Linked DNA regions of Macaca mulatta. The protein of the gene in region 1 interacts with the protein of each later gene in a pairwise test. Links are inferred from orthologs where the notes say so. Each region holds a gene or a part of one and is shown on either strand. Other genes may lie near its edges. The genes, in order: LMO4, myomegalin, NFYC, KIAA1958, ITSN1, RBBP8 and GRHL2.

Region 1 (4,168 bases):
CGCGGCGCCTCCTCCCAGCCCCCGCCTCCGCCCACTGCCCCCCTCCTCCGCCGCCCGCCTGCAGCAAATGAGGGTCAAACCCACCCACCGCCGTGCCCGGCCCCTCCCCAGCCCCCGCCGGGCCCCGGGACAGAGTCGAGGGGAGTGGTGAGGCGACGGCCCCGCCGGAGCCTCGTTCCCTCCCGGGCTCTGCCCTGGGAAGTGCAGCAGGAGTTCACAAGTTGGAAATAGTTCGGTTTTCCGAAAGGGAAGGAGGGAGGGACCGGCAGACGGAAGATGGAGAGCGTGGTGGTGGGAGGGAAGGCAAGGTGACGGCAGAGGGGGTGCAGTGTGTAAAGTTGCGAAACTGGTTTTTCGTATTTTAAGCAGCACCTTTCACATGCCATTGTGGTGACCGCCATCTCCCATTATTGTTCCAAATCTCATTTCATTTTGAAGATCAATGAGTGTTTTCTCTGGGTTTTCAGGACACAGGCAAGAATAATAGATCATTGAACTTTAGGATGCCTGTTAACTTCCTATACAAACACTCTCCACTTTGGTCTCACTAATCTGCCCTTGATCAGCAATTTAAATGCTAAAGCTTTGTTCCTCCAAAGGGGGGGGGGGTCGGCGTTACAGATAACGTGCGAGAAGGCAGCATTAAGGGATGCACAAGTTAAATTCGAGCCCGTTCTGCTGTCACCAAAAACTGCTTTAAAAAAGAATTCCCCACTCTAATGAATGCCACAAGAGATGCAACTGGGATATAATATAGGAATCAATTTATAAAGCTTAGCCTAAACCGATTAATTTGTTGCCTTCAATTCCGAGTCCAATAAAGTCCTAGTGTTCCTCTAGTCACTTATTCTATAAAAAGATCAAGTTATTTACTGCCAATTAAGCAGCCTGTTTTGTCTTTGTCCTCTGTAAGCTGAGAGTGTGGGCTCCCCCTGAGGCTCCCGGCTATCTGCTCAAGACATTCAGCTGATACCTCAGAAGAAGGCGAACTTTGCCTGTCCCCGGCCCAACTTGGCTGCTGCAAAAAAACGAGGAAGGAACGAACGAAACAGGGACTCGGGTTCCTTAAATAGGCCGATTTTAAACACATTTCCTCCGAAAGAGTCCCGGAACGTGTGTCCAGTGACCGCACAATAAACCAGAATAAGAACTGCACCAATTAAGCTGTAACAAAACCCTGAGACTTTGGAAACAGGACCACTCTAAAACCCATTAGCATTGCATTTATCCGAATGCATCATACCTTTATGTAAATTGATTTATCTGATGCATTTACTCGAGGAATTGCTTTTTGTTACAATTTCAGCCCTAACCCAAATGAATCTGCATTTCCTGCCCTAGGTCTTTAAACTGTTTCCCCCAACGTTTTAATCGCTCCGAATTCCTTTTTAAAAGGAGAGAGGGAGGAGATTCCCAGCTCTTCCCCGCCCCCATCTTTAGTGAGAGGTAAATATATATGTATTTTTTTTTTTTTGAAAAGGAAACATTACACTGAGAAAAGCATCCAGTAACCCCATTAGCTAAAGCTCTTAAGGACAAGCAATACCTTAATGCTGATTAAATCTAAAAGAGATGAATCAAGAGGACTGACCAGAAACTGACTCCCCTGATAACTAAGGACGGGCCCTCATCAAGTTTCATTTAGAGTTGGAAAAAAAAAAAAAAAGAAGAAGAAAGCTTTTAAGTTAAATAGGCTTATACTCTAGTAATTACATAGCCAAGCAATTTAGGTCCTGGGATAGTCAGTGAAATAGAAAGCAGAACTGGCAGCTAGAGGCAAAATCTGCCCCCCTTTAATAACGTCTCTGGTGTTTTTTAATGGAGACCAAGGGAGGGACAAACGTAACGCTGGCAATTTGTAGTACAAAAATGGATGCTTAATTCATGTCTTGATTTTAATTAGGTGATTCACCGTATTTCTCCTGGATTGTAACAAAAGACTTATAAACCAAGAGGTTTTAAAAAGAACTAGCAATACCGAATCCTGCTCACTTAGACCCTTCCTGCCACTGTTTCAAAATTAGTGTTTACTAGAAGGGGGGGGTTATCGTGACTATCCCCACCCCCACCCCCCCAAACACACTACTTCTCATACTTAAAACCTCATCTAAGCACCCCTTGCCCTTTCCCTCATGAACTAGAAATATCCCACCCCCTCTACGGTCCCCACCAGCCCCGTTTCCAAGAAGAGCCCTTTTGTAAGCAGGAACCGCTACAAAGCTGGCGGCCCGGGGCTGCCCTCCGCGCTAGCTCGCAGGCCGGCCTCGGTAGTTTCAGACTCGCGCTTTATCTAAGGCGACGTATTGTTTACTTGCAATTTGGGACGGTAAGGGGAAGGAAGCCAAAGAAAACAGCCCTGGCCCGAATCGGCCCCCTCCCTCTCTCTCCCACCTCCCGGCCCGCGGCTCCCCCAGCCGCCCCCTTACCTGCTTTTCCCCTATATTGCAATATTGCAAGAGGCGGCGGCGGTGAAATGCGAACGAAGCCGCTCGGCTTCCAGGGAAGGGGCGCCTGGGCTGGCGGAGCTGGAGGGAGGGAGGGAGTTCTCGCAGAAGCAGGAAAGGGGAGGAGGGGGCTAAGGGCGGCTTTTTTTTTTTAAATCGCGTTGCTCTGGGGCGGGTTGGGGGGCCCCCGCGTAAGTGGCAGGCGGCCGGGAGCAGAAGTGTCAGTCTCAGTCTTCGTCCTTCTCCTCCGCCTCCGGCTGCGCGCGAGCAGCTGCAGGAGCCCTCGGCCCGCGCGACGCGGCTTCAGGCGCGGTGCAGCGGCAGCAACTGCTGCAATCGCTGCTGCAAGTTTGGCAATGTGGCTTCACTTTGTATATTCCCCCGCCCGGCGGCCCCCGCCCCCGCCCGCGCTCCTCGCGCTCCTCCCGCTCCTCCTCCTCCGCCGCCGCCTTCCTCCCTCCCGCGCGCTCGCTAGCTCGCTCGCTCGCTCCGGGCTGGCAGCGGCGGCTCGACTGAGCTCCCTGCACCTCCGCCCGGGAGCAGCCGCAGACACAGAAACCCGGGGAGCGGCGGCGGACGGTGCGGAGGCCGGCAGGCAGGCGCGCCCAGGAGTCGGGAGCTGCGGCCGGCCGGGCCCGACGCGCTGGAGCCTACGCCGCTGCCGGGACTGTTGCCGGGGCTGCTGCTGCCCGGCGCGGAGGCGGAGGCGGAGGAGGCGGCGGCGGCGGCGGCGGCGGCGGCGCTGGCCTCTAGCCGGCTCGCTCGCTCCCTCCGCGGCTCTTACACATGTGTTACTGACAGAGCAAAATCCCAACTACTCCCCGGCTCTGCCTCCGACGTCAGCGACCCTCAGCCACTGGGCGGCCGGATTGTTCAGGCGGAATAATAAAACCTGCCAATCCGGGGAAGGACAAAGGGATGACTGAAACGAGACTCGGGGGGCGGGGGAGAGAGTGAGGCGGCGGAGCGGGCCGACAGAGGAGAAGGGAAGGGCCCGAATCAGGTGGGGAGAAGTGACCCGCTTGGCGCCTGGCGCCGGGGACCCGCTTGGGCTGACCTTCGCGACCCGGGATCCGGAGCCGAGACCCGGTGGGGCGGGGGGGCCTCACCTGCCTTCTCTGCGCACGGGGACCCTGAGGACCCGCTCCCGCTCGCTCCTCGGGGACTGCCATCCCCTCGATCTGAGAGGAGACCCTTAGGAAACTTACCATCTTTCTCAGAAATGGGTATCTTCCTGTTTGGGAAGATAAGTCCTGCATCTTAGGGCAGTGAACTTCTATCCCCTCACGCACACGCACACAGAAGAGGGTTTTTGTTGTTGTTTCTTTAATTCACGATATTGGAGATTTATGAACCGTAGTGGAAGCTTAGTTAACAAGGTAGAAACATAAAGGAAATAATAGTTGCTAGCTAAATACTGCCTACTTAGCCTCCCTCATCCCCCATTTACCCGAGTGTGAAAGTGCCTAGCAGGCATTTCTTGGATCCTTGTCAATTGCTGGTGATGTAGGGAGCACAGTCCTTATTTTCAAAGTTGACGAAAACTTCAGGGAGAAAACCTTGCCCGACTACCCTCCTCACTGTGGAGGATGAGAGGCGGAAATTCTCACAGCCCCCAAAAGCAATGGAAGTAATTGCGAGATTTGCAATCTCACAGCCTCTAGAGAGTAAGAAATGTCACTTCTAGTATAAATCAAGTTTTGAGGAATGCTTTTAGGGTGCTG
Region 2 (3,500 bases), about 33 Mb from region 1:
ATGCCAGCTGAAGTGATATGCTGGAATTCCAGGCAGCGGCTGAAAAGGCTCAGTCTCATGGGGGCATTCTGTGATCATGTGACCGTGGGACCTGAGGGGTGGGAGGTGGGTGCTGAAGCTTTAACTGAATTTCAGCTCAGCCAAACTTCAGAGAGGTAAAGAAACTGAACCTTTATGGATTGCCAGGGTTATGATGTCTCCGCCTTCTCCACACCCCTTCCTCTTCTTGATTTTTTATCCAGGGGCCAGGGGGTTGGTGGGGAATGGGATGTATTTACAGCTGCAATGAAAGCAGCCACCATGGGTCAGAGATGTCCCTCCAGGGACACTCCTCTAAGGTCCTGTCTATCCCAATTCACTATGTGGCTCCCGATTTTCTTGAAAAGCTGTGACACTGAAGAGACAGAACAGTATTGGAGGGCAGGAAAACTGGGTTCAAACCAAGAAAGGACACTGGCATCTTACCACTTTGCCAGGCAGCACAGGGATGTGGGTGCTTGGCAGGGCCGCTCTCCAGAACACGGTGAGGAGGGAAGCCGACTCCTCTAGGGCATGGTGCAGGGCAGTGGTGCTGCTCCGAAGCTCATGTATGCCTTTGCTGCCCATCACCTGGGGAAAGGTAACACCACAGAAGCGGAGAGATTACTTTCTTCCCCCTGCATGGGCTCCCGCTTCCTTTGTGAGTGAGGCACAGAACATGGGCCTGCTTGAACTGTGAAGCCCTCGCACAACCATTTGCAGCTCTCAGAACTAAGGTGCTGGTCCCTTTACCAGGTATGCCTCCCTCCACCTGCAGAACCCACAAGGCTTTCAAAACTCACCCCCCTTGCTGTGTCCTCTATGAACCTGTTACCTTCCTTGCCTGAGATAAATGACCACGTTTGCATTGGCGGCCTCACAGCACAGAGGATGGCTTCTCATGCTGTGTCTGTAGCCCCTTACTGTGCTGATCTACTTGTGTGTGTGTCTTGCCCTCTAGTGTGGGGTTCCGTGGAGGCAGGGCTGTCCCTACGCATCCATGGGTCTCCAGCAGCTCAGACAGCACAGCCCTGGTGCCTGGTCTCTCTCACTGGCAAGGCGCTCTGAGAAGCTTTGCTGACTGCCTTCCCTCCCTCTATGCAGTCTGCACAAGGAAATGCCATGGCTGCCAGGCTTCTCACCCCTTCCACATGTGGGGGCCATACACCTGCAAATCCTTCAGTTTCTGTCCACCCCATTGTGTCAACTCTGCCCACAGATGGTCATGTGCCTGCATAAAGCAATGGTAACAAAAGCCAAAATTGACAAATGGGATCTAATTAAACTCAAGAGCTTCTGCACAGCAAAGGAAACCACCATCAGAGTGAACAGGCAAACTACAGAATGGGAGAAAATCTTTGCAATCTACTCATCTGACAAAGGGCTAATATCCAGAACCTACAAAGAACTCAAATTTACAAGAAAAAAACAAACAACCCCATCAAAAAGTGGGCAAAGGATATGAACAGACACTTCTCAAAAGAAGACATTTATGCAGCCAACAGACACGTGAAAAAATGCCCATCATCACTGGCCATCAGAGAAATGCAAATCAAAACCACAATGAGATACCATCTCACAGCAGTTAGAATGGCGATCATTAAAAAGTCAGGAAACAACAGGTGCTGGAGAGGATGTGGAGAAATAGGAACACTTTTACACTGTTGGTGGGACTGTAAAATAGTTCAACCATTATGGAAAACAGTGTGGCGATTCCTCAAGGATCTAGAACTAGAAATACCATTTGACCCAGCCATCCCATTACTGGGGATATACCCAAAGGATTATAAATCATGCTGCTATAAACACACATGCACATGTATGTTTATTGTGGCACTATTCACAATAGCAAAGACTTGGAATCAACCCAAATGTCCATCAGTGACAGACTGGATTAAGAAAATGTGGCACATGGCCGGGCGCGGTGGCTCAAGCCTGTAATCCCAGCACTTTGGGAGGCCGAGACGGGCGGATCACTAGGTCAGGAGATTGAGACCATCCTGGCTAACACGGCGAAACCCCGTCTCTACTAAAAACACAAAAAATTAGCCGGGCGAGGTGGCGGCGCCTGTGGTCCCAGCTACTCGGGAGGCTGAGGCAGGAGAATGGCGGGAACCCGGGAGGCGGAGCTTGCAGTGAGCTGAGATCTGGCCACTGCACTCCAGCCTGGGTGACAGAGCGAGACTCCGTCTCAAAAAAAAAAAAAAAAAAAAAAAAAGAAAATGTGGCACATATACACCATGGAACACTATGCAGCCATAAAAAAGGATGAGTTCGTGTCCTTTGAAGAGACATGGATGCAGCTGGAAACCATCATTCTCAGCAAACTATCTCAAGAACAGAAAACCAAACACTGCATGTTCTCACTCATAGGTGGGAACTTGACAATGAGATCACTTGGACACAGGAAGGGGAACATCACACACCAGGTCCTATTGTGGGGAGGGGGCAGAGGAGAGGGATAGCATTAGGAGATATACCTAATGTAAATGACGAGTTAATGGGTGCAGCACACCAACATGGCACATGTATACATATGTAACAAACCTGCACATTGTGCATATGTACCCTAGAACCTAAGGTATAATAATAAAAACAAGAAAAGAGGAAAAAAAAAAAAGCTCCCAAAGGCTGCTAGGCAATGCCACATGTTTCTGTGGGGCTGAGGGGAAATATCCAGTCAGCTACATCTGGAACAGAGCAGAACTGACAGTGAAAATAGGAGACAGAGAAGACAGGGCCTGGCTGCTGTACATGGAAGAGGAAGCCTCAGCTGTTGAGAGATGCAAAGCACGAAAAACAAAAACAAAAACAAAAATGGTGGGAGAAGGAGTTACCATCAAAGGAAGAAAGGGCACAAGGAAACAGTGCATCTAAAGCTACAGGTGTGATTACCTCTGTGCCTTGGGCTTCAAGGCCAGGGAAGCTGCACGCTGACCTCACAAGAGACACTATCTTTTTGGCCAGCAGCTTGCCCTCCACAATCTGCTGTCTCAGGGCACTGTAGTCATCAATGTGGCCAATGACATGGCGGCCATGCTTATTGGCAAAGGAGCCATCAGTAGCATCACCCTCCAGCTTGGGAGGGGTCTTCATTACTGGAGAAGTATCCAAACCCAAGCCTGGAAAAGAAAATAACAACACAACAGAATCCTCTGTTATTCATAATGATATCCTAGGTTTGCTCCAACTCAGAAGAGGTAGGAGACAAGAAAAGGAAGAGGCTGGGAACAAGAAAGGAAGCCTTGGAATGTACAAGGGTGGGGCAAAGACCATAGAGATCTTCTGGCTTCTATATTTTTGTAATTTTTCTTACATCATCTCTTAATGATAAATTTGCCAGGGGACAATTTTTTCTTATTGGCCAATGAAATAGGACAAATCATAATAAATAATAAGTTTCTGGGTAGAGAAGACACAGACAAGGAAATCAAGCTGGATACAGAGAACATTTTCAAGAATGGAGAGATTATGGTGCAATG
Region 3 (3,500 bases), about 47 Mb from region 1:
TAGTGCAAATATCAGAAATAGCCACTGTCAGCTGTGAAGAACTGTGGGTCACTGTGGTCAAGTGCCCCGGCGTTACTGTTACAGTTTATCACTGAATGGAAGAAAGAACTGGAACTTTAGAGGAATACCCCTGAGACAGAAATCTCATTTTAATCTGCATATTGCAGACTGGTAAACTTACTTGGAAAAAAAGTGAAGGCGCTCATAATGTCCCTTTATGTGCTGACGAAAACAAACAAACCAAAAAAAACAGATATTGCTTGGGGCTCCGTTTCATGAGGGCACTGTTAGAGGCCATCCTAAGCTTTTTCTAAAGCCCACTAATTCTTTGAAGACCTGCATATGTTAAGAAGAATTTTGCTCTGGAGCTTGTATTTTCTTCATTTCATCTGTACCTCCTCTCCCGACTTCCTGAAGAGAGGGATTAAGCCAGAGTGCTTCCTGCTGCCTGTCATGCTTTGCCACACTGTTGATTGTGCCCACCATTTATGCATCTCTTGTTGTTCATTTCAGAAAGACTTCCGAGTGCAGGAACTCCCATTGGCTCGTATTAAGAAGATTATGAAACTGGATGAAGATGTGAAGGTGAATTCACATTCATTTTTATTATTTCTTATTGAAGCTGAGTGATGGGTAGGTTATTGTTCATTGCTCTAGAGCTCAAAGTTTAATTAAACAAGAACACACAAAAAATTACTGTCTGTTGCTTTGTTATTTGATTCCTGTTTAAAATTGTTAAGTGAGCCAAAATTGAGCAGTTTTGGTTACTATATGGATCATCCTGAAAATTAAGGATATCCTGGGTTTTTTAGATGTTGAAAAAATAGTAGTTGTTGGTTTTTGTTTTTTCTTTTTCTTTTTTTTTTTTTTTTTTTTTTGAGAGTTTTACTCTGTTATCCAGGCTGGAGTGCAGTGGTGTGAGCTTGGCTCACCGCAACCTCTGCCTCCCAGGTTCAGGCAATTCCCATGCCTCAGACTCCCAAGTAGCTGGGATTACAGGCGCCTGCCATCACACCCAGCTAATTTTTGTATTTTTTGTAGAGACGGGGTTTCGCCATGTTGGCCAGGCTGGTCTTGAACTCCCGACCTCAGGTGATCTGCTTGCCTTGGCCTCCCAAAGTGCTGGGATTACAGATGTGAGCCACCGCATCTGGCCTTTTCTTTCTTTTTGAGACAGGGTCTCACTCTGTCACCCAGACTGGAGGGCAGTGGCATAATCATGGCTCACTGTAGCCTTTACCTCCCAGGCTCAAGTGATCTTCCCACCTCAGCCTCCCAAGTAGCTGGGACTATAGGCACATGCCATCATGCCTGGCTAATTTTTAATGTTTTTTTGGAGCAGGGGACAGGATCTCACTGTGTTGCCCAGGCTAGTCACGAACTCTTGGACTCAAGCAGTCCTCCAGCCTCGGCCTCCCAAAGTGCTAGGATTAGGCATGAGCCACCATGCCTAGCCGGTATCTCACAGTTCCTTTCACAGTGTAGCATATACGTGTATCATCAAGTCAACAGGACAGTGCCATCATCTTAGCATCTTATATAGTTTGTTGATCTGAACTCTTAAGAAATTTTTGATAATGATATTCAACCTGCTCTAACTTTTTGATCTGTGAGTTTCTTTTACATGAATAACACTTGTGAGAGGGTTTGCTTGGGCTTGGCCATTTCTGTATTCCTAGGAGTCCATCTCCATTATAGATCTCAGAGAAAGAGGAACTCTGTCTCTTTACCACTCAAAATTAATAGTCTTTTGTATTTTCACAGAAAGCTAACAATTGATAGCAATTTTCCTTTTTATTAGCTCCTTTCTTCCTAACAGTAGCCCTGTGAGATTTGATATAACAAGAATTATCAGTTCCTTTTTACAGATAATGGAAATAGACACAAAGAGGTTAAGTGACTCACCCAGAGTGCTAGGACCAAGATCGCATTTCCCATCTGCTGCTGCTTTAACTCCAGAGCTCTTTCTGTGATTGTAGCCTGCACAGACTACCTCACCAAAGGTTTAGAACCTTGTTTGACCAAGAGCTTCAACTTTGAAATCAGACACATCAAGTTTATATGGCTTGAGCACTTCCTATGCGCCAAGTCCTGTGCTGGGTACATATATTATCTCATTTGATTGCCACAATAAAACTGGAAGGTTATCCTCTTTTTCAGTGTGTGAAAAACAAAGCCCAAAAGGATGGGAAACCTGCAGTTTTACCCAAATCCATTGGCTTTCAAGCTCATTCTCCTTCCCCATATTGTTTCTCCTTAGATTAGAACCTAAACCCTGCCACTTATTGGCTCTATGGCTATGGGCAAGTCACTTCATCTCTCTTAAACCCTAGTTTCTTTGAAAGGCTATTATAAGGGTAAGAAAGCACCTTGCACAAGGTTTGGCACATGGTAGGTGCTAAATAAGTATTCTTTCTCCCTGTTCCCTGCTTTATTCCTACTCATGAATTTATTTTACCTTGGAATCTCTTGAGCATACCACCTCATTTTTTGACCCTTGCCCCATAGTCCCATGCCAGGCAATGAGGCAAGAGACAGACTGGTTTGAATGACTTGCTGGTGATTGACAGGGAGGGCCTGTGTCTGTTACAGATGATCAGTGCAGAAGCGCCTGTACTCTTTGCCAAGGCAGCCCAGATTTTTATCACAGAGTTGACTCTTCGAGCCTGGATTCACACAGAAGATAACAAGCGCCGGACTCTACAGGTATTATTGCAGACTTAGATTAGGAAAACTGGGGTAAGCAGCCACCTTTGCCTGTTCTCCTGCGTGGCTTTGGACCAAAGATTGTTCTTCTTTAGGCCTCTATCAAGCTGACATGTAATTGGCATCTCCACTGTTGGGAGGCAGACATATTTTCTAGCCATGGTGATTGTGTTTCTCCACCAAAAATCTTAATTCTCTCCTGGTTTTCACAGCTTAGTGACTGAACTCTTTTCCCTTGGTGAGCCCTCACTATAAACAGAGGCTCAAGTGATAGAGTATTTATCTGTTTCCAGACGTAAACAACTTCTGCTTGGGAGCCTTGAGAGATTCCAGGAAAGGACGGTTCCAGGAAGTATCAGCGGTCTCACTAGCTTCATTAGGCGTTTTGTTCCTTATCTGCCTTCCTGGGAGTCCTCTTCTTCTTCTCCTTCTTCTTCTTCTTCTTCTTTTTTTTAATTTTAATTTTAACCCAGCAAATCCACATACATACTGTATGCAGAGCCCTTGGTCATTGACTCTAGAAACCCTCACCCTATAGCCAAGCCCTGGCTTTTAGAGGAAAGCTTTCCCAGATACAAGAAGAAGGGTGTAACAAGTATAAAACAGTGGCACTATTTTAACAGTGAAGCCAAGAAAATAAATTGTTTTCTCTTCTTGTTTCCCTTTACCTGCAAAGTAGAAAATACATGTGTTTATTCATTTATTCTAAAAATACTTAACTGAACACCCACAATGTGTGCCAGGCACTTCTCTAGGCTCTGGGGATTAACGATACACAAAACAGACAAAAATCC
Region 4 (4,299 bases), on another chromosome or scaffold:
GCAAGATAAATATACACACTCACACAAAAACCTGTTCACAAATGTTCACAGCAGCATTATTCATAACAGCCAAAGTACGAACACAACCCAAATGTCCATCAACTGATGAAAGGAAAAATAAAATATGGTATAGTCATACAATAAAATATTATTTGGCAATAAAAAGGAAAGAAATGCTACAACATGGATTAACCTTGAAAACATTATGCTAAGCGTAAGAGGGCGGTCACAAAAGACCACATAATACATGATTCCACGTATATGAAACATATAGAAGAGGAAAATCCATAGACAGAAAGTAGATTAGTGGTTGCCAGGAACTAGGAGGAGGGAAAAAGTGACTGTTAAAGGGTATGGGGTTTCTTTTTGGGGTGATGAAAATATTCTGAAATTAGATAATGGTGATGGTTGTAACAATGCTATGAATACGCCAAAACCCATTGAACTGTACACTTTAAAAGAGTGAATTTTATGATATGTGAATGGTATCTCAATAAAACTATTATTTAAAAAAGAGAAAAGTGAATAAACTGAAAAGCATGATCTTCAATCAGGAGAGAAATATTTTCAGTGAATATCTTCTTAATAACACCACGACTATGTCTTCACAAAAATCATAAACTGAAGGTCTTCTTTGGGAATCTTAAGGTTGAAACTAAAACTGGAAAAAAAGTTTGTAAAGCAACTTAATCCAAGGAAGTTTCAGGATAAAGGCACAGGTGCCTCAGGCTTCTAGGAAGCATTTCCCAAAATACACGACGTTTTTGAGAAGGGCTGAAATAAACTAAAACATGCCACAGATTTCTGCACATTTGTTTGTCCTTGTCCACGTTTCTATTCTAACCTACTAGATTTGAATCACGAAGGCAAAAGCATGAGACCCAACCCCTTTATATACTAATGGCCCAGATTAAATAAATATTGAATGTCAGAATTAAAGAACATTAGAACATTAGAATTACAGGTGCGGGGGCCTCGTACAATTATTTCACTCTCCTCTCAATCCATTCCAGTTAGGCTCACAGATTCCAGAAATCCAAGTTTCCGTATTCTTTTAAATTTTAAGAGAAAAGATCAAATACCTCTTTTAGAAATGTCTATTGCTTTTTAAAAAACTTATTAACTACCACACCAACTAAAATGAATAGCAATGTCAAGTTGGCTCAGTCAAATAAATAATAATGGAAAAGCATTAGGTCTATTGTCAAGATATGCCTTACTCAACATCATTTTGGCTTCAAACAACAACTAAACACCTTGCTACTGATAGAAAAACGTATTTTTAAAACTTTCAAAAATAACTTTACTATATAAAAATTCAGCTGACAAGTATCAACCTTAAATCTAACGCTACAATATCAACAGAACAATCTTACAGCTGTCCTCTCAGCCCTAAGGTATGCCAACTGGTTATGGCCTTAATTCTTATGAATTTCCTTTATAGTATCACCTGGACATAAGAGTCATTGTTTCTATCTTTCCATGACTAACAAAGGACTGAATTCTAGCAAACTGGAGTGAATGGTTTTAGAAGTGCTGACGGCGCAGAATTCTGGCGTGCGTGGATGAGGGACTCGCTGTCGCCTCATATGCCATACCTGGTATGCACTGTGCTGTGGCCTCAGTGGTTATGGCTGGAGCGACTGGGGGCTGCTGCTGACTGGAGCTCACTTCTGGCTCTGTGTTAACTGAGGGAGAAAGGGCTACCTCACAGGAGGAGACCTGGCTGGGCAGATGGGACAGGAACTCTTCAGAGGCAACTTGTTCATCCTGTCCAGGCAGCTGCAGGGCAGACAAGGGGATACTGATCTGTTTGTTAGGATGGGATGTGCTCACAGGCATTTGCATGGCCACCTGTTGGTTGGTGCCATGGGTACCAGGGGGGCCTCTGTTTGGTGAAGCCAGAGATACCCTAGCAGTCTTCTGGACAACTGGTCTGGAGATCACAGAGGGGGATGCAGACATACCGTGTGGGTCTAGCTCCGTGCTGATGGCGGATGTGACATGGGGAATCAGTTTAGCAGACCCTACACAGGAGGGACCAGCGTGAGTCTGAGGCTTGGGTTTTGCCATCTGTGTCAAGGATAGGGCTGGTCCATCCACTCCTCCTGTCAGTTCTGCATTTGCCACAATGTAATAATCTTCAGGGATTTCTTGTTTGATTTTCTTGATGATGACATCATTGCTGCATTCGTCAACCATCTGCGCCTGGGAGCTTGAATGGAGGGAAGATGGGACTACCCCAGGTCTTTTGCGAGCAACGCTTTGAGGCCTTTGGGTTTGGGGTTCAAAGTCACTATCCTCATCTGTAACAGAAGACTCACAAACCATGTCAAACAGGGTGTTCTCATCTTCATATTCTTCAACAGTTTCATCCAGTTCAGAGGGCTCACTACAATAGGAGAAGTCACAAGAGTCTCTGGTCCGGTTACAGTCTAGCTTTGCTTTCACTGGTCTCCCAGGGTACCTTTCAACAGGGCTAGTCTGTGTCTCAGAGGGCACCCCGATTATACTGGGACTATCAGAGTTAAAACTTCTGTTATCCTGGAAACAGACCCTCTCTTGGGACCCAGCTCTGCAAGTAGCTGTTAGCGGCCAGTGATAAGCATGGCCAGCACTACAGCCCCACATTGCTGTCAGGTTCCCATGGGAACCTTCAGAAAGCAAGTGTTTCAGGTTTGGAATGAGGCTGCAAATAGTCCCATGGCTGTGGGCCCAGCTGACCAATTTGGACAGATTCTCAGATGAGGTATGAAGACAATCCTCCATGTTACAGGATCAGCAGTGTCACTCCTAAAGGGAAATAATCAAAAGAAGAAGCCATTATTACCCAAGATATTCCTATAGCTCGATTACTTCAGTCTGTTCCAAATATGATCATTTGGCATAAAAAAGAAATGCACTTCAAAACCGAATTTAGTTAATGTCGCTGTAGATGAGCAGGGACTGGAAGAGAATATCAGGAAAAGTAAAAACAGCTGATGACTCATGGTTGTGGGATTTGGAGAAAAATTTTGTTAGTTTTCTTTATTGTTGTAATAATTCCTGCCTAAGGGGGGAAAAAGGAGAGAAGGAAAAAGAAACAAGTAATAAAGAAATGAGCTTTTCCATGGTACATTTTACTTCCAGAGTCACCGACAGAGAGGTTCAGATGGTCCCTCAATAATAAAATTGTGTCTATTACTTGCATTAACCAAGAGGATGCAGCTCCAATGACACCCTTTGATGTCAGAAACTTCGCTACTAGAGGCAGAGCCAACAAAGGAGGTTTGGATCCATCTTAGGATAGAGGTCAGAGAAAGGACGCCAGTTCTCTGCTGGGCACCAGACGACAATGCAACTAGGAGTCCAAGGAGAGGATCAGGAGCTCGATTTGAGAAATGGGAAAGAAAAGTATTCAGCAGAGGAGGGAGAACAGACCGGGAAAAGACCTGCTGGAGGGGCAGGCTGTAGACCGAAGCAGCAAGGATGGGGAAGCAGGAGGCCCTGCTCTAACCACTCTTAGGATCAGGCTTCCTGTCTCCTGGCTGCCTGCAATTCCTGAAATATTGCCTTTCATCCCACCATTAGAGGTTACAAAGTATGTCTGGTGTTTTCCACCATCTGAGGGTCCCATAAAGCCAAGCATAACCAACCATCAAATAGAAGCAAATCATTCCTTATTAGGCAGGAGACAAAAAGAAGCCCTTGTTAGGAGTCCCTGAAGAGTGAGGACAACATGATGGGTAGGAAAGTGAAAGGTGACATGTGGAGTCTGCAAGGGGCTAGAAAGGTTAGTAAGGCTTTGCCAAGAGGCGGGTCCTGGGAGCACTGGGCAGGGAGGCACAGGAATCTTTATGTGTGATTTTATTGGCCCTGGCTATCTGCAGATGTGGGTAACAAGAGGTGACTTGCTGGTGCTCTGCACTCAGGCACCACGGTCTAACCACAATGTCAGGTGGTTACACCAAAGTGGACAGACACCTGAGCCATTCCCTGACCTGACTCCATGGCACCCTGTCAGGGAGGTTAGGTAGGTTCAAATCCTTTAACATACTATTAAGGTCTCTGTTGATGTGGCCATGGCCACCTCTCAAGCCTCATTTCCTATGACCATGTCCTCTTCCCATACTTCTTGTGGTCCCCTCTTCTCTAAACTCCCTACTGGTGAGAAACTCATTCTTCTGCTTGATATGCTGCCCTTCTCTTTCCTCACCTGGCCAGCCCCTTCAAAACTGAACCTGAGGCTACCTCCTACTGGCATCTTTCCAGACCCCCTTTCTGCATCAGAGATTTATTTAGCTTCCCTTCACCCATGCC
Region 5 (4,198 bases), on another chromosome or scaffold:
TGATGTAAGTGATCTGAGGTCCACACTTTAAGAAACCCAACCAGTAAGTGGAGCCAGTCAGGAGGAAGTGATCATTCAGAAGGGAACAGCTCTATGGCAGAAGAATTTGAGGCGCAAACATAATCCAAACTCTCATGTCATCAATTCTCTACAACTCCCAAATTTTAGCAAATTAAAAAAACGATTTAGAGTAGAGAAATTTGGACGAGGCATGGTGGCTCATCCCTCTAATCCTAGCTCTTTGGGAGGCTGCCTAGGTGGGAGAATCGTTTGAGGCAGGTGTTTTAGACCAGCCTGAGCAACATAGAGAGACCCCGTCTCTAGAAAAATTTTAAAAATTAGCTGGGCATGGTGGCGTGCACCTGTGGTCCCAGATACTCCAGAAGCTGGGGTGGGAAGATCACTGGAACCCAGGAGGTTGAGGTTGCTGCCACGACTGCACCACAGCACTCCAGCCTGAGTGACATAGCCAGACCCTGTCTCAAAAAAAAAAAAAGAAAAGAAAAGAAAAGAAAAAAAAGAAAAAAAGAAATTACCAGCAGCTCCTCCTTAACCTCTTACAGGAGGTTTGACAGTTTGCCCCAATCTAGGTATTTGGGGAAAAGAGAAACTTGAGCAGAGGTTCTACTACCAATATTGAAGATAAACCTTAGGGAAAAGAAAATTGCTAGTCGACTGCCAAAAAAAAAAAAAAAAATCTAAGAAGGACAAACATTTCACAGAACTAACTTGCTACCACTCATTTTATGCCCTATTTCACAATGCTTAGTATCTGAGCAATCCAGAGGGTTCCAAAGTACATTAAAAATTTGTTCATTTCCTCTCTTACTCAGGCAGAATAATAATAGAGTTTTGTGAAGGTACCATGCGCCCCAGCAATTTCAACAGAAGCATTCCTAGATAATGAAATACCATTTTTTAAAAAAGATCATACTATGAGAAATGATCTTTACTGGACTACTTAAAGGTGTCTGAAATAATTTTAACACCAGCATCAAATTAGTGTCCCTCACTCCTTAATTTATATGACTTAAAAGTCCCTAGATTCTTTACAAACCCATCTGCACTAGCGATTTTTCTTTCATATGTATGTAATTTTTAATGTTTTTACTTACAAGGAAACTCCCATCAAAACAACGTTTCAAGCACACCAGTAAAAGAAATTTTAAACAGAAGCATATTTTATTCTCAGAGATAAACTAAGAAATAATAACTATGAAGGGTGTTTAAGCTTCCGCACTCTCAACCTTCAAGTCATCTAAAAATAAAGGTATCCCAACAAATACATTCCTCCTATTCAAATTTTGGGGGTTTAGAGTGGCACCATGCAAACCAGCTGGCCTGCTGTGTCCTGGCCCCAGTTCCTGCCCTCACATCCTGTCCACTACATAATCCATGAGATATCTGTGCCTTTCTCTTCATCCGTTCCACGGGATTAGCAAAACTGCCTCCCCGCTGACAGAACTGAGAATTTCTAGAGGCATTTGTTTGTATGGGATTTGCTGTTATTAGCCTCCCTTTTCATTGGCCTTGTTTTTATTATCTGTACATTTTGATCAAGGGGAGCAGCAAGAGAAGAATGCCAACAGACAAGCACAAAGAAACGCATCTGGCCGGAGCCTGCATATATTTAAATTCCCAGGTTGCTGCTGCCCTCAGAATAGCACTGATGATGGCAAAGTTCTAGAGGAAACTTTCATATTGAAGAGGCTATAAAAATCTCTATAGCCTCCAACTCCACAGAGAAGCCGCTAATCTATTTCTTCCAAAGCAAAGCCTTCTTGAGTCTGAATCACAACAAAAGATTGCCCATAGGAAATGTAATCTCCGAAGTTGTTTTCTAACCCCAAAGCAAGCAGAGGCGCAGGAAGGTGCGGCCGATTCCTCGCCGGTTTCCTTTTTTTAGGAATTCTGATTGCATTCCCTCGTGCAAGCAAGGGACTGCAATTGTGCCTCAGGTCCACACCACAAAACCGTGCCGGTGCGTAAGAAGGCAAGGGACGCGGCGGATCCGGGGACGCGCTCACAGGGCGCGGGAGCCGCTCTCCGTTAAATGCCTTCAGGGGCGGCCCCGCGGCGCGCCCTGGGGCCGAACTGCATTGCCTGCCCTTCACTGACCCGGGATTCCGCAGGCTTGCGAGCGAGGGAGCGAGGAAGGAGCCGGGGCTCCAGGCAGAGGCGACGCCGCTCCCGCCAGCGCGGGTCCCCGGGAGGCCGGCGGGAGGCGAGGCCGGGCCGCCCCGCGCCGGCGGCCGAGGGCAGCGAGGTCAGCCTGGGAAGGAGCGGACGCCCGGGGTCCCCGCGGCAGGAGAGAGCCCGCTCCGCGGCGGGGCCGCGGCGCCCATTCATCCCTACGCCCGTCCCACGGCCATCACCCCACGGCCCACCGCAGCCCCCGGCCTCCCAGTGCGGGTCCGCCCGCCATCCCGTCGCCGCCCCCGAGGACGGGAAGGACGAGGCAGAGGGGCGGCCGCTGCCGTCTCCCAGGCGCGCGGCGAGGGGCTAAAGGCGGCCGGGGGGACAAGCGCCGGGCGCGGGACGGACGCCCGGGGCAGCCATCGCGCCGACCCCCGCCCCCGCCGCCGCTGCCCGCGGTCCAGGCCGCCGCCGTGCAGTCCTCTCCTCACCTCATCTCCGGGCGGGTCCGCGCTGCCGCCCCAGGGACAAATCAGTGTCGCTCACGCGCCGCGGGGAGGGACGCAGGAGCCGCAGCCCCGCACACCATCCCCGCCCGCCTCTCCGTCCGTCCCGGAGCCCGCTCGGGATTCTTCCTCGCGAGCCGCCGTACTACGGAGCAACCAAGCTGTGCTCCCTCCCCTGGCGCCTCCACTCCTCTCTACCTCCTTCGCTCCCTCCCTCGTTCCCTCGCTCCCGCCTATCTCCTCATCTCCCTCCGCTGCCTCCCCCGCCCCCCATCCACCCTCCGTCTCCGCCCATAAGTGGGTGGGGAAACCGCCTGCCAATCGGAAGAAGGGGCCCGCACCTTCTCACCGCCCTCTACCGCTGGCCCCGCCCACCGTGCTAACCCGAGGAAGGGGAGCCAAAGAAATGTAAGACGACAGAGTGACAAGCTGAATGAGCCAGTCAGCAGGCGCTGAGTGGGGGCAGGATTAGCACTCTCCCCCTCTTCCCCACGTAGGCGTAACCGGAGATTTCTGGTCTGAGGTTGCCTATCGTGGTTTATGGAGATTTTGTTGCACGATTTCGGTGCATCTGCTCGTTGCCGTGCGAGGCACTAGATAGAATGCACTTAATTGGCTTAATTATTGGAGGTTTTAAAGGAGAGAATAATGTGGAAAGGATAAAGGAGGCGAAGCACAAGCCAGAGGGGTTGGCCGGGCCCATGGTTGGAATGAGGAAGGGTGTGATCTTCGGTTAGGATTTGCATAAAACGGAACCCATCCAGGCGATTCCAACTTCGCCCATTTATTGGTAGTCCTTGGGGCGGTGCCTCGCCTCTTTCTCCGCCCCCGAGCGGAACATCACGGGAGATGTAGTTCCAAGACTGGTTGCCATGGCGTTCTCGACAGCCTCGCGAGTCCGACCCCGCCCTTCAGGAGTGACGAGCGGCCTGACCAATGGGAGCAGGGGGCGGGCTCTCTGCGGAAGGACTTGAAGGTGGCGGTGGTGAAGGTGCAGGCCGTTGTGGCGGCTCAGAGGCAGGTGAGCCCCGGAAAAAGCGTCCTGTGTCTTGGGAAATGGGACTTTAAGCGAAAGGTGGAGAGATGCCCCGCGGAACCGTGCAGCCCTGGGGAGGATGGTGGTTCGCGTCGAACCCCAACCTGGGACTTGTTCGGGCCCAGGCCTAGCTTAGCTGAGGCCGCTGAGGGGTGGGTAAGACTAGATTTGAGGGACAGTTTCCTTGGACCTTGACGGGTTTTTATTGTAGGTCTTATCTCAGTTTGCATCTCCCTGTACTTTTATGGAGGTAGAGGTCTGGGAGTGCCCTTCCACTTAATCTCCCAGGTTGGGTTTTTCTCCTCTGCTTTTTGTTCCTAGAATTTGAGTGTCTTTTTCTTTCTCTGTTACTTCTTCTCAGCTACTTTTTTCTTCCTCATCACTTTGCTGTTTTGGGAAAGCAGTTAGTAGTTATTCGCTGTATGTGGCTTTTGAGCCACATCGGCCCTCTTCATTACGCTAAACAGCGGAATCATCTGGAGCGAGATGTAAGCATCGCCTTGGCATAGGTCTGGGTGCG
Region 6 (3,500 bases), on another chromosome or scaffold:
CATGTTGCCAAGGCTGGTCTCGCTCTCCTAAGCTCAAGCGATCCACCTGCTTCGGCCTGCCAAAGTGTTGGGATTACAGGCGTGAACCGCTGTACCTGGCCTCACTTTCTATCTCTTCCTGGAGGAATGTCACCTAGAGTCAGTAGTCTTCTCTCATTCATATGCTAATAAATCCCAAACCGGTATCTCTGTCCAACTTTTTTCCTGGATTCCCAACCCGTGTATCTACCTGCTTTTGGATATCTCTACAGGGATATCCTTCAATTTCAGCATGTCTACAGTTGACACTTAACCTGTCAAACTAACTCTTTATCCTTGCATTTGCAATCTCAGTGAATGACACTATACATGCCTCTTTGAGTCATCCTAGATTTCTGCTTCATCTGTTTTTTCTCAACAGCCTCTAAGTTTTACTGATTCTACCTCCTACATATCTGTTTTACATATTCTTCTGTGCCCCTATTATACTAGTTTAGGCTACTAACATCTCTCATCAAGACAACATGTTCTAGTAATCTAATTAGTCCTCTTGCCTATTAGTGATTGCTTCTTGCCTAGTGAGTGTCACAGCCACAAATACCTTTTCAGCCCACACATTGCATTTGTTTTATTTAAAACTCTTAGACATCTCTTCATTGTCTACAGGATAAATTTGAAACTCCTTAGCATAATCTGACCCCTAACCAACCTAACTGGGTTCATGTCCTACTCCCATCTTCTGCAGTTTGACTTCTGGCAGTCAAACCACGCATAGCAAACCCCAAACAAGCAATTTTATTTCACTTATCTAGACCCTTAATTATACCTAGAATTCTTTCTGTCCCAGTCCAGTTAACTTGACATATTCTTCCTTCTCTTGAGTCAGCTTAAGCATCACTTATAACTTTCCTTGATTTCCCAAGAGATTTAGAAGTCCTTATTCTATGTTTGAATCACCCCTTTTATGTACCTTTATTATAATATGTTTATCACATTCTGTTGCAATTCTCTTTTTACCTTGCAACTGTATAAGCTCCTTGAGAACAAGAACTTTTCTTTTCATCTAGTGCTTAGCACAATACCTGGAACATAATAAGTGCTCCATAAATATTTGAGTTAAACCTTTATAAAATACTAGAACATAGGTGATTTATGAATATGTGTTATCTTAACCTGAAACATGCAGTGCTGACAACCTCTCCTACAAAGTATGTTTTCATGAAAGATACCGTACATACAGTTTGATATTCATGCTGTAACATAAGTCACAATAATTCCACTGTAAATCCATTTTATGATTTTTTTCCCCAGTGGCAATAAGAAAAATTACCTATTACATTCAGTTCATTTAGGAAAAACATAAAATTTACTTGGAAAATTTTAGCATGCATGGACCTGCAACTTATTGCCATTTATGGTAGGTATATTGGACTTCTTGCACAGAGTTTTAAAATGGGTCTAGTGCCATCTTACAAACTATGAGCCTTTTCCTTTCTCTTTTGTCATTTTAATATGTCTAGCTTCTACAGTTTTGTAAAGTTGGTTTTATTATTTATTAAAATGGTTTATTATTTATTCTTAGAAACACATGGAACAAGCAGCTGTACCCCTGATAAGTCATCTTTTAATTTAGCTACAGTTGTTGCTGAAACACTTGGACTTGGTGTTCAGGAAGAATCTGTAAGTAATTGTTTAGTTTGGCAATAACATGAATTAATTTTATATCTTTTTAGGTCAGTTCTTAGAGAATTAAGCAAGAGAATTATTTTATCTAAAGATCTTGAGTAAAGGCCTAAAACAAAACTTATGTTGTTAGAAAGTCCTATTTCTGTTGTCCAGCCCAGCAGTCTCAGAAATCTAGAATCTAGAATTCTTGGGATATGGGTTGAGTCAAAATTTAGGGGAGTAATCACGGCATAGAGATTTTGTCAACTTTCTTCACTTCCCCCTCTCTCATGCCCACTCCTTGCCCTCATCTAAGAGATAGACCTAAACCTTTAGGTTGATTTCAGAATTGTTGTTTTGTTTGTTTTATTTTTTAGAGATAGGGTCTCACTGTGTTGCCCAGACTGGAGTGCGTGTCTATTCACAAACACAATCATAGAGCACTATAGCCTCAAACTCCTGGCCTCAAGTGATCCTCGCATCTCAGCCTCCCAAATAGCTGGGACTACAGACATATACCACCATGCCCAGCTAATTATTTTTGTAGAGATAGGGGTCTCAACTGTGTTGCCCAGACAGCTCTCAGACACCTGGCCTCAAGAGATCCTCCTGCTCAAAGTGTTGTTGAGATTACAGATATGAGTCACCACATCCAGCTGTACTCTTATTAAGTTGTCTTGCTGTTGAATTTCTAAAACTTGAATTGGTTTTTCATTACATAGGGATTTGTTTGTCCTTTCTAGTTTTAAATTCATTCTTAAATGATAATGGGTAGTTTTTAACCTTTGAACTTTGAATGCATTTTAATACTTTCTAATTCCCTCCTACCCATAAACCTCGCAAGTCATAGCTTAGACACCAAATAGATCGAAGGAGCTGAAATCTAATGACTTGCTGCTCAACGTGTGATCCATGGGCCAACAGCATCTGCATCACTTTTGAAGTTTGGTGGAGATGCAGAATCTCAGACCTACTGAACTTGCATTAACAGGATCTCCAGTTGACTTGTATGCATGTTAAAGATTGAGAAGCACTGTTCTGTAAAGGATTATTTTAAATTCATCTCCTATCAGTATGAATAATTATCTCTATTCCCTTCTGCACATCTTAATGTTGTTTTTTGGAATTGGAGTTTTATATGCAAGTAGTAGAATATACTTATGTAAGACACTGATGCTTTTCTCTTTAAACTTAGAATGTGCTTCATATTTTTCATTGTGGTGAAATTAACAATCATTTTGAAGTGTACAACTCTATGATATTTAGTACATTCACAATATTATGCAGCTATCACTTCTATTCAGTTCCAAAGCATTTTTATCACCTTCAAAGAAAACCTCATACCCATTAATCGTGTATCCCCATTCTCCTCACCTCATTCTTCCACCTCCCACTTGCATCCTCTGGCAACTACCAATCTGCTTTCTGTCCCTATAGATTTGCCTATTCTGAATATTTCATATAAATGGAATCATATGTTATATGGCCTTTGTCTGGCTTCTTAGTATATTTTTGAGGTTCATCTGCATCGTAACATATATCAGTACTTCATCCCTTTTTAAGAATGAACAAATCCCATTACATGGGTGTGCTTCCTATTTTACTCTTGAAGGAAACTCAAGGTCCCATGAGCCCCCTTGGTAATGAGCTCTACCACTGTCTGGAAGGAGATCACAAGAAACAGCCTTTTGAGGAATCTACAAGAAATACTGAAGATAGTTTAAGGTAATCACGGGCACATTGGTGAAAACTTACAAGCTATTGGTGAGATCCCATTACAATGAATTCCATATAATTAAACCATTTCTCTCCTTCAACATATAGTTGGTTATTCTGGTTATATACATTTTTACTTT
Region 7 (3,955 bases), on another chromosome or scaffold:
TTTCAATGAGGCTCACGAAGCCTCTCACTTGCTCAGGAAGGAAGCCCCATGGTGTGCCCAGGGGCCCGTTTCCTTACAGTCCCCACCGCATCTCACACACATAGTTGCATAAGCTTCAGACCCACCCCTGCCAGGGCTCCCTTAGAATATTAATATTAAGAAAACTGGGCTAGAATTCGCAGAAATGATCCAGAAGTCATGTATTGACTTAAAGCATTTTCAACAGCCCAATGAGAGAGGAAACAAACCAGGTCGAATTGTCTCTTTGCACCATTGTAACCATTACTTTTCCCAGGATACAAAATTTCGTGTTGGAAACCACGACTAGATAAAAGCAACGTTCATTAAATGTAAGCAGACGTAATCCCAGATACTTATCACCCATAAAAACTAGGTGATGTGTGTGGTGAAACCAGATTGCGGGCGCTCAGTACTTATTTCTGGTGGTAAACACATTGTTCTTATTGCTGCTAAATATAACTGGTGAAAATAGAGACCGACTCGTTTTCATTCAGAATTCGAGTCCTGTTGTATCACAAAACTAAGCAAACTAAACGTTAATTGCGCGATTAATTAAACTAGATTTGCAATCATCTTTGACGCACGCAAGGATCAAAACAAACCCCAAAAACTTGCTGTCGCCTCGGGATTTGGCTACTGAAAATTTCAAACTCGAGTCGTGTTTCCTTAAAGACTAGAAAGATTTAGGGAAGAGCTGGGGGTGTTCTCAGACGACCACACACTCTCCTCTTCCTACCCTGCCTCAGACCCTCTCCTGTGTTGGTAACGCTAGTTCTTCCCCTCCGGTATGCTGTACTCGGTTAATTCCTCATCGGTGGCTAACGGGGTACAACTATCTGGCAGTTTTTTGCTTGTTAAGTATGACAGCGCATTTTCTTAGGTTCGCCTAACCTACCAAGCGGCTTTATGTTGAAGCTAGTCCTTCCCCTTCACCCCTGAACAGATCCGCTGGGCCTTCCCACTCCTTCCTCGTGGTCCCTCAACTTGGGACGGGTCCCCACCACTTCTCCATGACAGGCCCAGCGGCCCGCGGCCTTGGGGCACCGGCCCTCTCCGGCGACACGCCTTCAGGAAGGCCACCTCGGGGTGGCCGCAACGCCACGGCAAAGTTACCGGGGAAAGCAAAAGGGCGGCCCCGCGCATTCCAATAGGACGCAGCCAGTTCCCAGGCCCGGACGCGCCCGAGAGGAGGGGGAAGGGAGTGTCCCCGCCGAATCCCGAGAAAGGCCGCGGGACCCACCTCCGGCTCCCTCCCGCGCCCGCCCAGGCCCCACCTCCCCCGGATCGCACAAAGCCTTCCGAGGGCGGGGGCCGGCCCGCGGGGAGGCCGTCAGGACGCGGCCAGACCGGGCCCGGTGACCCGCGGGCGACTCCGGCCGCGCAGGCTGTGGCTCGCCGGCGCGTCTGGAGTGCCTGTCCGGGACGGGAAGGACGCGAGCCCAGCGTTCCCCCCGCCCCGAGCCCCCGGCCTTGACGGCGAGAGCACCCCAAGAAGGCTCTGCGCGCCCCACGCAGTCCCGCCTGCCGCGTCCGAGTTGGCGGCCAACTGCGTGGAGGGCCGCGAGCTCCAGGGGCTTGCAGCCGCCGTCGGGGCGCGGGTGAATCGCTCAGCAGCAGGCGCCCCTTGGCGCCCCGCCGAGGCCCTAACTCGAGGCCTCACATGAGTTCCCCCACTTTGCGAACCGTCCTTTCCCCCGGGCACCTGAGGAAGGTGGCCAAACAATGCGGGGGCGGACCCGGGGGAGGGAGGCGGGGGAGGGGAGGAGGGAGGCGGGATGTCGAGGGAGTGGGGGACGGCGCCGGCCGCCCCCGCGCCCCCCGGCCTCCCAGCGCCTCGCCTCCCTTCGGGGCCACAGGCGGGCGCGCACTCACGCCCACCCTCCTGCCCGGTGCGAGAAGATGGCCGTTTCTGCCTCGGTATAAAAGCTCTTTGTTGCGGTCACACAAAAGCGGCCAAGCCCCACTTTTCCAGTAGGCCCTTTGGACAAATCGAAGGAACTCAGCTGAACTTCCAAATGGCCCTAAACGCCAGATCGGTGGGAGCAGCTAAAGCAGAGGGGGAAGAGCAGGCCTCCCGCGCCCATCTACCAAAACCTCTGGCAATATCCAAGTATTCATCCGGGAGCGGGAGCTGAGACCATTCCTAAGGGAGGAAGGAAAAGGAAAACCCACTTTTACTATCAAGGCCCAAAGGGGATATTAAACATTCACATTGTTGTAGGGTTTCTCCTCTTAATCAGGGTAGAAACATAATGCGGAAAAGTCTGGATCCACCAAAAAGAAAAAGAAAAAAGAAAGAAAAATACCAACAATAGCAACTTAAAAACAAAAACAAAAACATAACAAACCAGTTGCCATCAGCCCAAAGTGGTAGTAGCAGCAGCCGGCGCGTGTGATCCACTTACTTGTCCGACTCTTGTGACATGTTTGATCCAATGAACTTGCTCCCCTTTTCCTGGAGCCTCAGCCTCTGGTGAAACTGGACTTTCAAGTCTGTGCAGGTGAAGGTGTGTGAGAGCGCCCGAGATGGCAGAACAAGAGCTACAGGTAATTCTGCTTTTCCGTCCCCCCTCACCACTCTCGCTCGCTCGCCCGCTCGCGCCCTCACCTAGCCGGAAAGGTGGGATAAGGGGGGGCCCCTCACATGGGGCCCGAGCTCGGAGGCGGCCGGGCGGCGCGGAGTCCTCCTGGATCGTGGCAATGGGCAGACACAGAGCAGAAAGTGGCGGACTTGGGCGGCCACAGGTAACTTTCTCGCAAGGAGCTGAATTCTTTCACTAAAGGGTACAAGCCCGAGGGACGAGCTGCGCGATGATTGGCTGGGGAGCTCCCTCAGGTGAGCTGCCATTGGCAGAGGCGCACTCAGGTAAGGCCCTTCTCCAAGTGAAGGTAACTCACTCCGAAGTTTACCTGAGTGGAGCGGCGGCATGCTTGCAGCTCGGCGGCAGCCTGTGAGAGCTGAGGGTCAGTTCTTCGAGTAGACCTCAAGCTGCGTTTTCCTCCTTCTCCAAGGCAGGGATGGGAAGGTCGGGGGTACTGGTTGAAGCGAAGAAAGGGGTTGGGGGAATGCAACACCTGCAAACACTAGGGATTATGGGTCGAGCGGAAGAACTAATGAGAGCCGAGCTCAGGTATCCCAAGTCAACCAGAATCAAATGCGCAGTACGCCACAAGGCATTTAATGCCCACAGTAACAGGGCTGTTTGACAGTGGCAGAAGAGGACGGGACTAAAGTTACTTTGTGCTGAGAGGGGGAAAGAAACACAAAGTTTGGTCTGTTGCGTAATTGAATTTTTAACATTCTTATCCACAACAAACACTTTTCGCGTCCTGTTGTGTAAAAGACATCAGATATATTACAGATTTTCAAGCAGGTGAGCATCCTTTTACGAGCTGGGCAGGTGGGGAGTGGCGTGGTTTTGATGGAGTGAGGAGATTTGGTTGAATGGACACTAAGATGGCCAGGCGCACCTCTTCGATCTCAACTCTGCAGCCTGGGATTCCAGAGCTGCAAACAACCACTGAATTCGTTCTGTAAACCTGTTGTCATTTGACGTTTCCAGGCAGGCATCAACGTTTACATTGTAATTCAATAGACGCTACCGCTACAAAGGTGCTTTATTCTTCCAGCTTAATATGGTTGCTACGGAAACACTGCAGGATGAAACTGATTTTTTTTGTGGTAATGTTTCTCCTGGTTGGGAACAATGCAAATTAGCAGAGGTGTAATTTATAACCGCCGCTACCAAAGAGTGAAGTGTTTGTGGAAGTTCTGACTGGGATCTAGCTCGTACATATGGATTGTGGAAACAAAGGAGGACGTGGAAAGCTTACCATATTTTATTTCAAGTTAATACTAAAGCTGCCAGACTTAATACAACTTTTCTTTTAATCTTATGGATCACATATTTTCTGAAAATTACACGATAAAACA

Evidence for each region.
Region 2: the proteins of LMO4 (region 1) and myomegalin interact in binary tests that used the Homo sapiens proteins (3 or more experiments, as listed by UniProt). The two-hybrid records come from large-scale screens. The link is inferred for Macaca mulatta from reciprocal best matches to the Homo sapiens genes LMO4 and PDE4DIP.
Region 3: the proteins of LMO4 (region 1) and NFYC interact in binary tests that used the Homo sapiens proteins (3 or more experiments, as listed by UniProt). The link is inferred for Macaca mulatta from reciprocal best matches to the Homo sapiens genes LMO4 and NFYC.
Region 4: the proteins of LMO4 (region 1) and KIAA1958 interact in binary tests that used the Homo sapiens proteins (3 or more experiments, as listed by UniProt). The two-hybrid records come from large-scale screens. The link is inferred for Macaca mulatta from reciprocal best matches to the Homo sapiens genes LMO4 and KIAA1958.
Region 5: the proteins of LMO4 (region 1) and ITSN1 interact in binary tests that used the Homo sapiens proteins (3 or more experiments, as listed by UniProt). The link is inferred for Macaca mulatta from reciprocal best matches to the Homo sapiens genes LMO4 and ITSN1.
Region 6: the proteins of LMO4 (region 1) and RBBP8 interact in binary tests that used the Homo sapiens proteins (3 or more experiments, as listed by UniProt). The link is inferred for Macaca mulatta from reciprocal best matches to the Homo sapiens genes LMO4 and RBBP8.
Region 7: the proteins of LMO4 (region 1) and GRHL2 interact in binary tests that used the Homo sapiens proteins (3 or more experiments, as listed by UniProt). The two-hybrid records come from large-scale screens. The link is inferred for Macaca mulatta from reciprocal best matches to the Homo sapiens genes LMO4 and GRHL2.

What each region holds. Positions count from the first base shown.
Region 1 is NC_133406.1:153,320,423-153,324,590, forward strand, and holds the start of LMO4 (LIM domain transcription factor LMO4), read right to left. Parts: upstream 2,801-4,168; 5' UTR 2,427-2,800; exon of another isoform or gene 1-2,426. Other genes in the region: uncharacterized protein LOC144332728, read left to right, coding at 2,801-3,370. UniProt on the Homo sapiens protein: Transcription cofactor. Plays a role in establishing motor neuron identity, in concert with MNX1, acting, at least in part, to disrupt LDB1-LHX3 complexes thereby negatively modulating interneuron genes in motor neurons.
Region 2 is NC_133406.1:119,875,563-119,879,062, forward strand, and holds part of myomegalin, read right to left. Parts: intron 3,141-3,500; coding exon 2,914-3,140; intron 610-2,913; coding exon 466-609; intron 1-465. UniProt on the Homo sapiens protein: Functions as an anchor sequestering components of the cAMP-dependent pathway to Golgi and/or centrosomes.
Region 3 is NC_133406.1:200,033,421-200,036,920, reverse strand, and holds part of NFYC (nuclear transcription factor Y subunit gamma), read left to right. Parts: intron 1-513; coding exon 514-585; intron 586-2,592; coding exon 2,593-2,706; intron 2,707-3,500. UniProt on the Homo sapiens protein: Component of the sequence-specific heterotrimeric transcription factor (NF-Y) which specifically recognizes a 5'-CCAAT-3' box motif found in the promoters of its target genes.
Region 4 is NC_133420.1:45,741,093-45,745,391, forward strand, and holds the start of KIAA1958 (uncharacterized protein KIAA1958 homolog), read right to left. Parts: upstream 2,801-4,299; 5' UTR 2,770-2,800; coding exon 1,599-2,769; intron 1-1,598.
Region 5 is NC_133408.1:13,742,166-13,746,363, forward strand, and holds the start of ITSN1 (intersectin-1), read right to left. Parts: upstream 2,801-4,198; 5' UTR 2,628-2,800; intron 1-2,627. UniProt on the Homo sapiens protein: Adapter protein that provides a link between the endocytic membrane traffic and the actin assembly machinery. Acts as a guanine nucleotide exchange factor (GEF) for CDC42, and thereby stimulates actin nucleation mediated by WASL and the ARP2/3 complex.
Region 6 is NC_133423.1:69,417,563-69,421,062, reverse strand, and holds part of RBBP8 (DNA endonuclease RBBP8), read left to right. Parts: intron 1-1,561; coding exon 1,562-1,659; intron 1,660-3,256; coding exon 3,257-3,369; intron 3,370-3,500. UniProt on the Homo sapiens protein: Endonuclease that cooperates with the MRE11-RAD50-NBN (MRN) complex in DNA-end resection, the first step of double-strand break (DSB) repair through the homologous recombination (HR) pathway.
Region 7 is NC_133413.1:111,832,829-111,836,783, reverse strand, and holds the start of GRHL2 (grainyhead-like protein 2 homolog), read right to left. Parts: upstream 2,801-3,955; 5' UTR 2,767-2,800; coding exon of another isoform or gene 2,548-2,766; 5' UTR 2,447-2,547; coding exon 2,427-2,446; exon of another isoform or gene 2,370-2,426; intron 1-2,369. Other genes in the region: uncharacterized protein LOC114680429, read left to right, coding at 2,548-2,766. UniProt on the Homo sapiens protein: Transcription factor playing an important role in primary neurulation and in epithelial development. Binds directly to the consensus DNA sequence 5'-AACCGGTT-3' acting as an activator and repressor on distinct target genes.